Macaca fascicularis: one gene and its partner. The protein of the gene in region 1 interacts with the protein of each later gene in a biochemical or structural test. Links are inferred from orthologs where the notes say so. Each region holds a gene or a part of one and is shown on either strand. Other genes may lie near its edges.

The links.
Region 2: the proteins of PLCG1 (region 1) and SH3BP2 form a complex in vitro, tested with the Homo sapiens proteins (2 studies listed by BioGRID, with this or other methods). The link is inferred for Macaca fascicularis from reciprocal best matches to the Homo sapiens genes PLCG1 and SH3BP2.

What each region holds. Positions count from the first base shown.
Region 1 is NC_088384.1:97,242,248-97,246,773, reverse strand, and holds the start of PLCG1 (1-phosphatidylinositol 4,5-bisphosphate phosphodiesterase gamma-1), read right to left. Parts: upstream 3,072-4,526; 5' UTR 2,989-3,071; intron 2,501-2,988; exon of another isoform or gene 2,499-2,500; 5' UTR 2,378-2,498; coding exon 2,161-2,377; intron 1-2,160. UniProt on the Homo sapiens protein: Mediates the production of the second messenger molecules diacylglycerol (DAG) and inositol 1,4,5-trisphosphate (IP3). Plays an important role in the regulation of intracellular signaling cascades.
Region 2 is NC_088379.1:2,996,916-3,001,456, reverse strand, and holds the start of SH3BP2 (SH3 domain-binding protein 2), read right to left. Parts: upstream 2,886-4,541; 5' UTR 2,838-2,885; coding exon 2,671-2,837; intron 2,500-2,670; exon of another isoform or gene 2,380-2,499; intron 1,603-2,379; exon of another isoform or gene 1,209-1,602; intron 458-1,208; coding exon 318-457; intron 1-317. UniProt on the Homo sapiens protein: Binds differentially to the SH3 domains of certain proteins of signal transduction pathways. Binds to phosphatidylinositols; linking the hemopoietic tyrosine kinase fes to the cytoplasmic membrane in a phosphorylation dependent mechanism.

The DNA of each region.
Region 1 (4,526 bases):
ACTTACGAACAAGAAAGGTTACACCCAGGAGTCAAATGTGCACAACTCCAAACACTTTCTCTAAAGAAACACTGTTTTACATGGTGGGTGGGTGAGTGGGCACATGGGTTGAGGCAAAACAAAACCGTTTCCTGCCTTTTTCTGAGTAGCAGTCTAAGTGAAATGTGAATTTGGTCACCATTCTCCTCCCTTCCTGCACCTTCACCCTTACCTCCAGCCACACCTCACCCCCTCACCATTCCCAGTTGAGGGTCTTGAAGGGCAGCTATGGTCTATTGTTAATGTTATTACTAATAACAGCTCACATTTATTAAACATTTATGTGTCAGACAATGCTAGATATTTTTACATGAATTGTCTCATTTGATCCTGGAGCAACCATATATAGTGGATATATTACTACCCCCATTTTACAGATGAGGAAATCAAGGCTCAGAGAAGGTAAGTAACTGGCTGGGAAACATACAACAAATATATGGGCTTCAAATCCAGACTTGCCATCAACCACTGTGCTACATTTATTGCCTGCTAATATGCATGGTTTAAAATGCAGTCTGTTACCCAGGAGATCTCTTGAGAACTTTCAGCCAGTGCCACCAACTCAACACAGCATAGGGAGCAAGGAAGGGGACCATGCCTGGAGTCTGATGCCTGAGTGACGTTCCCAGGATTATCTCAGCTCTTTGCAGTGCCCATCCTTCCTCTACTTTGGAATCCACAGGCTCTCAAGTCACTAAAATATTCTCCCAGTGGCTGACAGGGTCAGTGGGGGCACTGAGGAAGGCGGCTGCCATTTCTAAGTTGAGCAGCTGCGTTAGATCTGTGTCAGATCTGGAGTTTGTAGCTGAGGATGGCTGGCTGCCTCACCACAAGACCTTCCTTCCTCCCAATCTCCTCAACCATCTACACACATGCACACCATACCCAAGAAGGTTTGTGGGACCCCCCCTTTGGGGTGTCACTTCCTGATCCCCCTCCTTCACACAGACCTGGTTCTGAGCCCGGGTCTAACCCCAGTCTCCGGGGGTCCCTGCAAGAAGCAACCTAGTCTGGAGTTGCAGACACACCATCTCTTCACACTGAGAGGCGGGGGAATGGAGTGGCAAAGCAGAGTGCCCATCCGACCACAGCACAGGCACGCGCTAAGTGGAACAACTCTCAAAGATCTGGGGTTTTTCAAAATCCCCCAACTCCCTCCTCCCACTACAGACCAGCACAAAAGCAGCCAAGCTCAGGCCTGGGAAGGCGAAAAGGCAGGAAACCAAGAGAAGCCGCTCCCGCTCCCTGAAGCCACCGGACAGAGGACAAAGGGCTAGACTCCAAACTAGCTGCACTCCTGAGAAGAGTACCTGACTCCAAGGCGCTGGGGCAGGCCTTTATGGGGCCCATCTTCTGGGAACGTGCTTCCCAGGGCAAGGGGAGTCCCTGTTCTGGCACTGAGTGTCTGCCCACCCACATAGGCTTCCAAAACTCAGCTTTGGGACAAAAGTAGCATTAAAAACAAAACAAAACAAAACAAAACAAAACCAAAAAAAACAGCCACTGCCTTCTCTCAGGCTTCTCCAAACCAAACAAGACCACCTTCCTCCCTCTCCCCCAGAGGGAGATGAGTAGGCCCGGCTCCGCTCCAAGACCAGCCCTACCCAACATCTGCCTAAGTTCTACTTAGGGAACCCAAAGGTTCCTTTGCAACCAAGAGCCCAGCCTGGGGGCCCGGAGAGTTTCAGAGACTGCTCTTTCTGGAAAAAGAGTGGTGGGCGGGGACCGTCTGGTCAGGCCCCAGGTTCCCGTGCTGGGTTGGGGCCGCTGCCTTAGCTCCCCTCAACGATGCCACCACCACTCCCAGGGTCTGGGGGGGCCCGATGCCCGCACCGCAGATCTCCAGCCCGCGAGGATTTTTTAGGCCTCAGGGCAAAGCTCCAGGAACAGTAACTCCCCCCAGCTGGGGGAGGGGGTGTCCTGTCAGGTGACCGAGGACCCGGATGCCCCCCGCCCCCAGTGACCACCCGAGACGAAGCGGGGGCGGGGCCCCGAGGGGGTGGGGGAAGGCCCGAAAGTTTGCCCAAGTCGCTGGGGCGGCCGGCCGGGGCGCAGGCAGTTGGGCCGGGCTCCCACGACCCTAGCGCGCGGCGGGCCCAAGCAGGAAGGGGGCGCACTTACTGGCCCCCTCTATCTTGTCGGCGCCCCGGCTCCACGTGATCTGGCGCGTCTCCAGCTTGACCTGGAAGGTCTTCCGCTCGGGTCGCTGCGACTTCTTGGAGTAGAACAAAGTCATGACGGTGCCCACCTCGAGGCTGCGGCAGAGGTGCAGCACCTCGGCGTCCGAGGGCGCGCCGGGCCCGCAGCCGTTGGCGCAGGGGGATGCGGCGCCCGCCATGGCTCCGACGCTGGGGGCGGCGACGGCACAGGCCGGGACGGCCCGGGAGCAGGCGCAACGACGCCGGCTGAGGTTGGGGCTGAGGCTGAGGCGGCCGACGAGCGGGACCCGGCGGCTGCTCCTGCAGGCGGACACGGGGCGGGGCCTGAGCGCGGCAGGGCGGGGCGGGGCGGCCCTGAGGCCCCGCCCCGCTCGCGCGCCGGGAACAAAGGCGCCCGCGCACCCGTGGGGAGGACCCCCGCCCGCCGGCCCGCTGCGCCTGCGCCCCACGACCCCCAGACAGGCCGCAGGCGGGGACGGAGGCTCGATGGCGGCGGGAGCGCGCGCCGTTCCCGGTCGACCCACCCAGCCCTCAGTCCCGCAGAGCTTTCTCACGCAGCCCCGGACACAGCCCGGCGGCCACGAGCGGCCCTGTCACGCACGGCAGCCCCGCCCACAGGCCGCAGGCCCCGCAGCCGGCGCGCCAGTCAGGCGTACTCGCACGGGCGTCTGCCAGCCCGCGGTCCCGCACAGACGCAGCCCCCGCGTCCCGAACACCGCCCATGCAGCGACCAGGACGGGACGCGAGGAGGTGGCGCGTCCTCCGGGCATGCCTGGCCAAACCCAGTTACCTGGGCGGGCTTCCCGGCGAAGGGAGCCAGGCCGGGCCGCCTCACACCGGCGGTGGCAGCGGGTTCTCCGCGCGCCCTCTCCTGAGAGGGGCGGGGGCGGGGCCGCCTGCGGATTGGCCGCAGGCACTGATGGACAGCCGACATGTCCCGCCCCCCGGCAGCGCGGGGCTGGCCCCTGGCCGCTCTTGGGACGGCCAGACCCACGTCTGTCTGTTCCGCCTCTGCTGCCAGGGTGGCCTTCAGTGGTCCTTTCGTTCGGAGAGTTCCCCCCAGCCCCTTGCAGGGGCGTTAAGTCCGCGGCCGCGCTGCCCAGCGGCCTGACCTGCAGCTCCCAGGGCCTTTGTGTCTGTCCTTCGCATGGGCCTCTGTACGCTCCGTCTCCACGCGGCGGGACTGGAGTCTGATCCCGGGCGCCCCTCCTGCAAATGCTCTCCTGAACTTTGATTTTCCCCGCCTTACTTTCCTCCTCCTCCTGTGGCCGCTGCTTCTCGATCTCAGAAGCTTCTCTTCCTCTGCACTCAGTGCTAGGCCAGATCCCAAGGCGACCTGACCTTTCCCCTGGCTTTACCCGCCACACAGGCACCGATGACTCGAAACCTGCATCTCCCCTACGTTCCAGGCCCCAGCATCCCACTGCATGTGCCACATCCCCCCACCTTAGACAGCTCACCTTCCCTCCCCAAACGGTTCTTTCCAGTCTTCACTTTCTCAGAACGTGGCGCTAAACTCCTCTAAGTTGGAAGGCCAAAAACCTTGCAGATAACTTTGCTCCCTCTGCCTCACCTCCAATCCATCAAGATCTGTTCACTGAACCCACAAGCTGAAGGCCCCATCTCCTGTCACCCAGACTATTCACTTTTGTTTTGCCTGGATCTATTCTCCATGCTTTAAGTCTTTACAATGAAATTAAATAATGATCCCCTACATCCAGCCTAGAACCCTCCATGAATTCCTATTGCACCTAAAATCCACACTCGCTGCTTGGCCTAGCAGGTTCTATATGACCTGCCCATCTCACCAGTTTCATCTCTCACAAGTGATCCTTCGCTCTCCATTCTCCAGCCACAAGGCCTTTTTCTGGTTATGGAATAATTCATACTCTTCGTCTTTCTGAAGCCATTCTTGAAACTCACCCCTGCAATCTATCTGCCGCTGTCAGCACCGCCAAAATTGAGGACACCAACGGTCGCAGTGGAGTCTGATATGTTGAGCCAGGCAGTGGGTCGGCTGCCAGACACAGCAGGACAACTTACTGCATTTCAGAGGTGAGAAGCCCAACAGAGCTTCCAGCTGATGCCAGAGAAAGAGCCAGGCTTCCTGGGATTTGTGGGATAGTAGGACTAGAGTTTGTAAGTATGTAAGAGTGTGTGCTCAGGCAACCTACTCAGCTGGATAGTGACCTGGGGCTGCTGCTTCTGACTTTGTCTTGCTGTAGTGGAAACTTGTGTGTTTCGTTGATATCCTCAAGTGCATCCCCTAAGAAGCTCAGAATTCAGCATGACTTTGAGACACTTTGTCCTAGCCAGCTTCTTTGGCCT
Region 2 (4,541 bases), on another chromosome or scaffold:
CACGGATTCGGTGAGGGCAGCACCAGAGGCCAGACCTACCTGGCCATCTGTGGTCCCTGGGTCCTGGCTGCAGGCTGCAGCTCCCCTTGCCAGCTGGCCAGCAGTGTGCACCACCCTGGACCCTGCTACAGTCCTGGGGCTAGGGAGGTCAACCTCTGGTTCTCCAGGGGTGCCAGCCACCAGAGAGGGAACGGGAAAATCCAGAGGGCCCACCACGTGAGGAAGCAGAGGTTCAGAGAGGATGCCCACGTACATGTACATGGCCAGCCCTGCCCCCACGCCCTCCCACTGTGCTCCCTGCCACCCTGGGGACTCACATTTGAGCAGCTGCAGCTGGGTACCGCCCTTCTTGTGCAGGTAGCCAGCCTTGGCCACGCCCCCAGGCATGGTTAGCAGGTTCTGGGCACCAATGGCCTTCATAGGGACAGGCCAATGCATCTCTTCAGCCGCCATGAAGCTGCAATAAAGAACAAAGGCATGAGGCTCAGCTACGGTCAGGCAGGAGATGGCTGAGCCAGGGCGCTCATGGGGACACTGCCAAGATCCAGGACACAGCATGGAGGGTGGGGCCATGACAGGCAAGGAAACCCCTTTTCTGCAGGCCTTGGGCTTCCGGGTGGGACCCCAAGGAGAGACAGAGCCACCTGGTCCACTCAGTCAGCCCCTGGTCCACTCGGCCACACACCCGACCCCAGGATCCTGAGTGCTACGTGCAGCCCTTTCTCTCCACTGGTTCATTCTGCACACAGCAACTGAGTGCAAGGCCCCGTTGGGGCTGGGTAGAGATGAAAGAACTCAGAAAACCCCAGTCCAGGTAAGTCAGACTTCAGGCCATAACTACTTCAAGTCCCAGTGCCAGATGAGCCTATAAGGGGCCTAGACAGGAAGAAGGCAAGTGAGCAGCCAAGAGCCCCCAGTTCCCAGGTCAAACGACCCGGACTCCCGTCCTGGGAGAACCCAAGACTCAGTTGCTGGAGAACAGAGTGGATACCCAGCCCAGCACACAGCACACTGTGGTCAGCAGTGGCCGTGACCACCATTTGGTGGGTTGGTTGCTATTCACCCCACCAGCCCAGGATATCACTGCCATTCCCTCTGAGCCCAAGCAAGGACCACACAGTCAGTGGAGGACCAGTGACTGCCTTGGGGCTAACCCAGGCCCACCAGACCCAACGTCATGCCCTGCCCCCTACTCCAGCCACCCTTACTCATGCTCCAGCTGCTCTCCTTGAGATCCACCATGCTGTTTAATGCTTCCTCCTCTGCCTGAAATGACCTCCACCCCTTCCCATGCAGAGAACTTCTACTCATCCATCAAGACCCAGGTTGAGAGTCTCCTCTTCTGCTAGGCACCCTCACTGCCCACTTAAATCCAGCATCTTCCTCACCTCTGATCCCAGTGAACAGTACCCCCACCCTGCATTGTTTGGTCTGTGCCTGCCCTCATTCCATCCTGGGTAGGTCCCTCCTGGGGCCCCAGTGGAGTTGGATGGGAGCAGGCCTGTGGCCAGTGTCCTGTTAAGCCCTTAATGGAGCAGCTAAGGTCAGATCCAGATGCCCAGTGGGGCTGGGACTGATTCCACTACAGCTCCAACCCCAAAAAACACACATAAAGAAAACTAAACCAGGGCAACATAGAAAGACACCATCTCTAAAAAAAAAAAAAAAAAAAAAAAAAATTTTTTTTTTAAAATTAGTCAGGCATGGTGGGGCACATCTGTAGTCCCAGCTGCTCTAGGAGGCTGAGGCAGGAGGATCACTGGAGCCCAGGAGTTTGAGGCTGCAGTGGTCTGTGATCATACCACCACACTCCAGCCTGGGCAACAAAGCGAGACACTGTCTCTAGAAATAAATAAAACAGCCAGATACAGTGGCTCACGCCTGTAATCCCAGCACTTTGGGAGGCCAAGGCAGGCAGATCACTTGAGCTCAGGCGTTCAAGACCAGCCTGGGCAACACATAGAGACCACCATCTCTAAAAAATAATTAGCTGAGCTTGGTGGTGCACACCTATAGTCCCTGCAGGAGGCTAATCCAGGAGGATCTATTGAGCCAGGAGTTCCAGGAGGCAGTAAGCTATGATTGGCCACTGCTCTCCAGCCTGGGCAACAGAGCTGGAGCTAAAAATAAAAAATTAAAAACAAAATAAATAAAAAGAAAAGTACTCTCCGCTTTTAGCAAACCAGCACAAGTGCAAGAGGAAGTCTCCAAGGCATCAGGCTGTCTTCTGCCGGCCTCGGCCTGGGTCACCCGGCTGGACCCCACCAGCTCCCTCTGCACCCAAAGCCAGCCCCTCTGGGCGGGTCCCAGCCGCAGGGCCCCCAACCACAGGCCAAGGTTTGGAACAAAGGCGCCGCCACACCCCAGCGCTCGCCCTACCGCGCTCGGCCCGAGGGAGCTCCACGCAGTGGGGATGGAGGGGGGAGCCCCGTGCCCGGTCCGCCCGCGGAGAGCTGCCCGCAGACCGACAAGCCCCGTGCCGGCCTGAGCCCCCCACCCGCCAGCTGGGACGGTCCACGCCCGCCTTTGTTCCCCCAAGAAGCGCGTGGGCGACCAGCAGCGCCCGGGGCTCGCGGCCCGGGTCCAGGGGGTCGGGGCGCGAGGTCCAGACCCGGAAGCTAGAGGCCCGCGTCCCGGAGTCGGGGCTGGTGCTCGGTGCTCGGTACTCACGGCGTCCACGCGGCGGGCACGGCCGGCTTCCCCGGGGCGGTCCACGCCCGCCTCCCCTGCGAGCACCGGCACGGCCCCGGGCCGCGCCCCCCGGCCGCCGCCGCCTCATCCCGGGCGCCCGCCTCCCGCCGGCCCCAGCTCCGCGGCCGCGGCCCGGAGCCCGCCATGCCCGCCGCGCCCGCCGGCCCTGGCCCGGCAGCCGCCGGCTCCTCCCCTCTCGGCGGGGGACGGGGCGGGCAGGTGAGGATCCCGGGCCCGCCCCTCCCGGCACCGCCCCCTGCTGCGTCACCGTGCGCGGCCGCCCCCTGCAGGCCTCAGTTTCCCCACGCTGCAAGGAGGGTGGTGGGCGCTGGGGACAGGAGGCCCACATCTGTCGGTGCAGCCTGGAATCAAGAAGCCTTCGATGCAAACGAAGCCTCCTGCTCCACTCCCCCAGCACCTGCGAGTCCACACAGCTTGGTTGGAAATCCACGGCAGGCGCGAGGGCCTCGGCTCTGAGGCCCTGCCCAGGTCCCATCTCGTCGGGCCCTTCTATCTGACCAGCTCTCTCGGGAAAGTGGCCTCTGTTAAAACGGCACCTGCACGGAGGGCGGCAGCAGGGCAAGGGATCTGGCACGTGCCCCGCCCTCACCTCAGCTTCCTGCGGGACTCCTTGGGCCTTCAGCCCCAGATTCCCCAAGGAGCCAGGGGTCTGGTCCTTGGCACCTCCCACCTGCTTGCCCATATGCAGGCGCCTCACCCAGGAGAGTCCCCTGGGGTGGCAAAAGGCCAGCAGAGGCCCTTGCTGGCCTCCCAGGCATCCTGCCTCCTCCATCTTCCACCTGCACACAGGCTGCCACCAAGATGGACCAGGTACAGGTGTGGCTCTATAAGCCTGGGCCTGACCTCACCTAGCTGTCCATCTGGGGCACCCACCCTGGTTTCAAGGCCCCACCTCAGGCCCGCTCTCTGGGCTTCCCACTGCACCCAGCTTTCAAGGCTCTGTCCCATCTCTGTGCCCTTGTCTGGCCTGCCTCAAGGCTCCCACCTCCTTCCAGCCACCCTGCCAGGCCCCTCTCCATTGCCTCTTGGCAGCCCCCTCCACTTCCTCTCCTCAGGCCTCCCGGGCCTCCAGCCCCCCACCCAGCATAGAATCAACATGCACACCATTCCCATCACTGCTCAGTGCTAAACCTCTAGGGCCTCCTCATGCCAAACTGGCCCTCCCTGATTCAGTCACTCCTGCCCTCTACCTTCTGTGCTCCTATGCCAGCCGGACCCTATGGCTCCAGTTGCCTGAATCGAGCAAGCACCCACTTGCAGGCCTCAGCCCATGCTGTTGCCACAGCCTAAAGTTGAAATTGAACTAACCCAGCCCTCAAAAGTTGGCTCAAAAGAACACAGCTCCTTCACAAATTTCCAGAAAATAGAAGAGGAGGGGAACTCATTCTATGAGGCCAGCATTATCCCAATACCAAAATCAGACAAAGACATCACAAGTAAACTACAAACCAATATCCCTTATGGATATAGACATAAACATCCTCAACAAAATACTAGCAAACTGAATCCTGCAACATATAAAAGGGATTCTACACCAAGACCAAGTGGAATTTATCCCAGGAATGCAAGGATGGTTTAATATTCAAAACAATGAATGTAATACACCATATCAATAGAATAAAGGACAACCACATGATTTTGACAGATGAAGAAAAAGTGTTTGACAAAATTCAACACTCTTCCATGATAAGAACAGTCAACAAACCAGGAATAGGAGGGAACTTCCTCAGTCTGATAAACGGATCTGTGAAAAACCCAAAGCTAACATACCTAGTGGTAAAAGACTGAAAGCTTTGCCCCCAAGAACAGGAACAACTAAAGAATGTCTG